Oryzias latipes: one gene and its partner. The protein of the gene in region 2 purifies or fractionates together with the protein of the main gene of each other region. This does not show direct contact. Links are inferred from orthologs where the notes say so. Each region holds a gene or a part of one and is shown on either strand. Other genes may lie near its edges. The genes, in order: ndufaf8 and ndufaf5.

The links.
Region 1: the proteins of ndufaf5 (region 2) and ndufaf8 purify together in Homo sapiens (affinity purification with mass spectrometry; 3 studies listed by BioGRID and IntAct, counting the BioPlex papers as one, with this or other methods). This does not show direct contact. The link is inferred for Oryzias latipes from reciprocal best matches to the Homo sapiens genes NDUFAF5 and NDUFAF8.

What each region holds. Positions count from the first base shown.
Region 1 is NC_019877.2:3,983,024-3,986,688, forward strand, and holds ndufaf8 (NADH dehydrogenase [ubiquinone] 1 alpha subcomplex assembly factor 8), read right to left. Parts: upstream 2,107-3,665; 5' UTR 1,932-2,106; coding exon 1,851-1,931; intron 1,069-1,850; coding exon 958-1,068; intron 877-957; coding exon 856-876; 3' UTR 570-855; downstream 1-569. Other genes in the region: slc38a10 (putative sodium-coupled neutral amino acid transporter 10), read left to right, coding at 1-87; AP-4 complex accessory subunit tepsin, read left to right, coding at 2,340-2,378, 2,647-2,719, 2,848-2,939, 3,022-3,115, 3,199-3,266, 3,352-3,433. UniProt on the Homo sapiens protein: Involved in the assembly of mitochondrial NADH:ubiquinone oxidoreductase complex (complex I, MT-ND1). Required to stabilize NDUFAF5.
Region 2 is NC_019859.2:650,348-653,305, reverse strand, and holds the end of ndufaf5 (arginine-hydroxylase NDUFAF5, mitochondrial), read right to left. Parts: intron 2,020-2,958; coding exon 1,936-2,019; intron 1,521-1,935; coding exon 1,438-1,520; intron 1,007-1,437; coding exon 920-1,006; 3' UTR 760-919; downstream 1-759. Other genes in the region: uncharacterized protein LOC105358217, read right to left, coding at 1-34. UniProt on the Homo sapiens protein: Arginine hydroxylase that mediates hydroxylation of 'Arg-111' of NDUFS7 and is involved in the assembly of mitochondrial NADH:ubiquinone oxidoreductase complex (complex I, MT-ND1) at early stages. May also have methyltransferase activity.

The DNA of each region.
Region 1 (3,665 bases), on a different chromosome or scaffold from region 2:
GCAGCCCTGGAGGAGCAGCTGGTGGCCGGGGCCATGGTGCACTCACGGCAGATTAAACAAGCCCCAGAGGATGATGGGACCAAATGAGACAAACCCCCCAACGTCGTTGCCTTATGCTCTTTCCAGCAGAATGGCTGGAGACCGAGAACGCTTAGATGCTGTGTATTCTGAAGACAATCCAAAGAGAAACGATGTAAATATTAACTTATTTTAAGTTACAATGGAGAAGGGGTCAACATTAAAATGTAAATACATCTATGCAAATCCTATTAAAGGTGTATTTTTATTGAGCAAATGTTATATTTAGTGTTTGGTTGAGGTTTTTGTGTGTTTCTTATTTGCTGAAGTTGTAAATGTGGATTTTTTTTTAAATACTCAGTTTCATGCTGGAGCTAAAATACACATGTTGTAGCCTTAAGGTTTAAGAAAAACTGCTCATTTGGACTGAATCTGAATTTCTCAATCATTTTCTTAGTATTTATTCCTAGTTGATGTCTTAGTGCCTTCTTGGTCCGGATGCTGCAGCTTCAAACCCTTTTATTTATATATTAAAAAAAAACTCTGAAATATTTTGATGTTCCAAAACAACTTTTTAGAAATTTTCTTTATTTGTTAGAGGTTCAACATTCCAGATCTTGACTTTGTCCAAAAGTATTTTTCTATGTGCAATTTATTTCTGTACATAAGACCTAATAAAATATCAACCACTGGTTAATGTTTACAGCATATACAGTTACTTTCCAGCTCCACAGAACTGCATCAGGTAAAATATTGACAGGAATCAGGGATTAGAATAAGAATAAATGATTCCACATGCGGGTTTTCAGGCTGGTTTCTCCTCTTATTTATTTGTTGTCATCTGCCGTGACGTTTGGCCTGAAAAACAGAACCGGATAAATGATTATCCATCACAAGCATCCGTCCAAACCAGCAGGAAGATTTCTTCCTGATGCTTACAGCCTTCACAAAGCAGGTCTTTAGAGCCTCAAACTCTTTGGCACACAGGTCCTTCTTCAGCTCTTGTCTGCCTGCCGTTGTTGCTGCGACACACTTTCCATACGCTGCAGCCTGCAACACAACAGCTTTGTATTAAGAAAAACAAATCTCACCAAAAAGAATAAAATTACACAAATATGGACGGTACAAAGTTTTCTTGAATTAGTTTTCCTGTAAATATTTTTTTGTTAAATACTGAAAATCTAACTTATTTGTGCAAACAAACTTTTACATGTCTCCAAGATTTATACTTTAATGCAAATGGAGTTGAACCTTTATAATTATATTTTTAAACGTAAAAATATGTTTTAACATCGAGAATTTTGTATAGAAATATAAAAAAATAATAGCATACCTCTAATGAGTGTCAGAATTTTAATTTTGTAGTTAGATGAACTGCTTTCCATCTATGAAACATGGTGGTGGTTGCATCATAATTTGAGTTCCTATTTACACCTGAACTTAAACAGATACTAAAGTATTTTTCAGTATCAAATAATTCCCAATGAATTAGGGGCTCAATAAATATTCTAAAAGAGGAGTGCATGAAATGACAATTTCACACATAAATGTTCACATTTGTAACCCCAGCTGTGGTAAAACAGCTGGAAAATGCAAAGTAGAGGTTTTTATAGTCAACAGGCCAGAATGATCAGCAGTTATCTCGCAAATCTTTAGTCTCAAATTGTGCAAAACAAAGCTAGAATCCAAGAAAACAGACAAAATAATGCCACTCTTCTACTGATGCGATATTTAGTCACCCAAAACAGTTTGTTTATTATTGCATATTTATGTACTGAATATTTTAACCAAAATAAGATTAAGATGAAAAATACTAATTTGAGAAGGCTCACCTCGTCGGCACACTTTGAAAAGATGTCGCTGAAATTTCTCATTTTCTCCCGGCTTCTGGTCCAAACATTTGAGCCCGACATGCTGCTATATGCATCTATGTCTTTAAACCTTAAAACACATATAGGCTTTTATTTGAGTATTAGATTAGGAATCTTAGAGCATGTTTACGAGGAAAAAATGTCATAAAAAAGGCTTAAAATTCGTGTAAACTACGGGTAGCGCCATTTTGATGACCCTGTCATTTAAAACCTTCCCTTTCTACATTTTTAGATATTATGATTGGCTTATATTGCTGTCAATCTAAAGTGGGTGACTCCCCTCGCAGTATCTGATTCGTTGTCATCCAGTTTAAGGCGTGCCAATATCCGCCAATGAACGTAGAGGAGGACTCAAAGTAATGAGGGTGATTGGCTGCCTGTCACCTTAGCCACGCCCTCCTTATAGTAGCTTCAGAAAGATGAGGAACCCGCGGCTACACCTGCTAAATCATGGCTACATTTTTGGAACGATTAGCTTTTATTCAAAAAGTAAGTAAAGTTCGGAAAAAATTTGCTTCTAGACAAAACTGTTGATTTTTTGGGAGCGCGTGGCGGACTCGACGTAGCTTGACGCCCCTGTTTGTAGCAGTTACCTAGCTAGCTAACTACTAGCTTGCTTGCTACTCTTTAGCATGGTGTTTATTTTAGGCTAGGGTCTCTAAATACCCATTAAAGTAGTAGATTATTTTCTACGATTTTAAAGCTGGAAGCATTATTTTAATAAATAAAAGTTGATAGTTTCTCATAATTATTGCAGGTTCCCACCTTAATGAAGGCAACAGCAGATGATGAAAACCCCTGTCCTGGTTACCTTTTTCAGGAGATTGGAAGTATCCTTTGTTGGTGGCCTAATCAAGGGGAAAAAATGTTTTCATTGTTTTTCGGATAAGCAAAACTTGTTCCATTTAATACACACACTGACTACTAAAGTATGCCCTTAACTGCCATTACACTTTAGAAATATCCCATGAGTCCTTGGGTTGTGGTCAGTGTTTGCTTGAATACCTCCTGGAGAGACTGCAAGTCGAGTCCTGCCACGTCAAACTTAAGGTGAGAACAACATCTGGGCATAGACTCATTTCTGCATTCATCTAACTGAGTGTAACCTCTGTTCTCCTCCTGGTTATTGAAGGTGCTAAAGATTTTTGTCCACCTTTGTGGTCATGGTTCAGATCATTTCCTTACAGAACTCAGAAGAAACTCCACCTTCATCCAGCAAGCATCAGGTATAAGAGATTGTACCACTGGAATATATCATAGGTATCACGTGATAATGGGGTTTTAAAGTTGAAAAATGTCCATTTATAAGTTTACAGTGGTCCTCCTGATCCCATCCATGGCTCAGCACTTTACCAGAAAGTAAGGAGTACGGCACAGGTACGAGACTGGGTGTATTCTTTTTACCTGGTTTATAAACTGAGTTGGAATTTACTTACTAGGTGTTAATTGTTTACATTTACAGGAAGTGGCTCAATTACTTTTCACAGATTCATTTAATACCAAAAGCAGCATGTCTTCACACACTATTGCCCCTCCAGGAATGGGTGAGTAGAATTTAGGTTTACCTGTGTTTTGACTTTTTATCTTCTTCTTCCACTTTCGGCTTCTCCCATCAGGGGTCGCCACAGCGAACTAGTCGCATGGTAAATTTGGCAATGTTTTACGCCGGATGCCCTTCCTGACGCAACCTTCTCAAACCGGGCTTGGGACCGGCACAGAGGTAGAGAAGGGAACAGGGAGCAGCCCGGAGTCGAACCCTGGTTTCACGGATGGAAG
Region 2 (2,958 bases):
CTGCAGCCGAGAGGAGGCAGACGAGGAGCAGCATGTCTGCAGGCGCTGCAGGCAGAAGTGAGGTTTGGACGGAAAGAGGAAGGCGTGACTGAAGAGCGCGTGGAAATGATGCATGCAGGGGGTCGGCTCGCTCGCCACGGAAAAACAAACGCAGCAAAAAAATGTATCATTTAGTTCTCCATGCCTCTGTTTGCTGCAGTGATTCATGGACTGTCCCTCTTTCCTTCTTTCGAGTTCTTCCAGACTCCAGTTGTTTCATCCGTGCTCCAGTTCCTGACCGTTTACCTCGTCTCTGCTCCTGCTCCTACACCTGGATGTGGTTCCTGTCTCCGGCTCGACTCGCGCCCCTGACTGTCCCCCCAACCACGGCTGGATGAAGCTCGTCTGCTGGACTTTTATATATGTAGTTGTAGAGTTAGATAAGTTAATTCTTCTCTAAGAGTTCTGGTAAATCGCCTGTCCGTCCTGGGGGAGGATCCCTCCTTCATGTGGGCACCCCTGAGGTTTCTTCGTTTTTTCCGGAATCCGTTTTTTTAGGAGTTTTTCCTCACAGAAAGGGGGGTCTAAGGGCAGGGATGCCAGTATAGCTTAGTCAGTTTGTTAGTTCATTTTAGTATTTTCCTATTGAACTCTTTGTATTCATGATCCTTTTGAGTTCATGTTTGACTAAGAAGCCCATCGAGACGACTGTTGTTGTGATTTTGGGCTACAAATAAAATTGAACTGAATTCAAAACAAAGACGGACAAAAACGACCACATCCGATCTGACAAGGAAGTTTATTGACTGAAGCGAACCACAGAAGATGCTGATCTCTGTGCAGGTCCTGCTGAAGGTCACGACCCGGTCCAGACCAGCCTGTGCCGGACCGCCACACCAAGCCGTCCATGAAGTGCAGCGGCTCGGTCCGGTCTGTGGTTCTACGATTGGTGGTCAGGGCCCGGCTGGCCGATCCGCGACAGGTCTCCAAAGGAGACGGTGGCGGAGCCTCGCTTCGCCGGTTTGGCCTGAAAAACAGCAGCTTCAGTTCAAACGTCTCTACAGTGACGTCATCTTCTCATCCAAAACCCAAAAACCTCTGTGGTTCTGTCCCTGCTGTGGGTCCAAACGGGGGTTTGAAGAGGCCCCGCCCACTTCCTGTCTCCTGGCTAAGCGCCATCCTTTCCACAGGGAGCTTCGGTGTTCCGTCTCAGAACAGTAAAGTTTCATGGTTGGTTCTTGTTTTGAGACTTTTAACCCCGGAGGAGATCGCCTCGCCCTCCGTGACCCTCATTGGGCTTCTGAAGAGCCAGAACGTCTACCTGAGGGTCTACAGGTGAGTCTATGAAATGAGGTTCTGTCCCGCCGCTCCATGAAGCCCAGAGGGGATCAAACATTTTCTGAGGCCAGAGCCGTGCTCGTATGTGGGCGGGGTTTTTACCTCACCTCTGACGCTCACCTGAGACTCGTGAGGCTTCCAGCCAATCATGTAGAGGATCTCGAAGGTGGCGGGCACGGCGCCGTCCTCGCTCCCATACATCTCTGAAAGACGGCAGAGTCACATCAGAAACAGCTGGTCAAACAGGAAGTGATGTCAGAGCAGCCAGGAAACAGGTGGAGCAGCAGCTGAGTCAGCAGGAAGCGTGAGGCCACACCTCCTCCAGCTGCTTCGCCTCCCTCAGGACGTCCGTCCTGCTGAGTTTGGGTCGTGTTCTGCAGAACCCTGACAAGGTTTCTATTGAGGGACTCTTCAGGGCGCCGGAGTCCCAACAACCGGAAAAAAACGGTTCCTGCTGGAATCTCTGCATCAGCTGAAGGAAGACGTTCCACGTGTTCTCCCAGACGAACGGCTGAACGGCGGAGGTGACGGGGTTCCCCCGGGAACAGCTTGGTGTCTGCTCGTTGTGTGTTGTTGTTGTGTAGTGCAAAGTGTGCTGCTGTTGTGAAACCACCTCACCTTTGTAAACGGCAGCAGCTGCCAGCATGGTGTCCCTGTGCAGCAGCGTCCTCCTGTTCCAGGCGCAGTTACTCTCTCCCATCCCTAGAGGATCAGTGGAAACCACGGCAATGCCAAGCTTCAGTTGAGGCCTGAACTCTTTCAGTTCATTGATGAAGGAGAACAACAGAAACCCAACTCATCAAGATTATTAGAATCCAGGTGATAATCTGGATTTCTGGACTTCAAAGACAGTGGAGGAAAAATCTGTTCATGTTTCTGAAAGACTTCAGCAAACGCAGCGTTGATTCACAAAACTATTGCTGGATCATTTTACATCGGTTGTCTCTTGTTTGCGTTTCTGTCCGTTTGTCTGTCTGACACTTACTCGTGCACACCACACTCGTGCACACCACCCTCGTGCACACCACAATCGTGCACATCACACTCGTGCACACCACACTCGTGCAAACCACACTCGTTTACACCACATTCGTGCACACCACACTCGTGCACACCACAATCGTGCACATCACACTCGTGCACACCACCCTCGTGCACATCACACTCGCGGCCCAGTCCTTCTGCCGCTTCTTCATCTCCCGGTTGAAGACGATCACGGAGCCCGACAGCCTCCTGCAGGCTCCGGGCCCCCCCCAGCCCCGTCCTCGTGCACACCACACTCGTGCACACCACCCTCGTGCACATCACACTCGTGCACACCACACTCGTGCACACCACAATCGTGCACATCACACTCGTGCACACCACACTCGTGCACACCACACTCGTTTACACCACATTCGTGCACACCACACTCGTGCACACCACATTCGTGCACACCACATTCGTGCACACCACACTCGTGCACACCACCCTCGTGCACACCACCCTCGTGCACACCACCCTCGTGCACACCACACTCATGCACATCACAATCGTGCACATCACACTTGTGCACACCAGACTCGTGCACACCACACTCGTGCACACCACACTCGTGCACACCACACTCGTGCACACCACACTCGTGCACACCACACT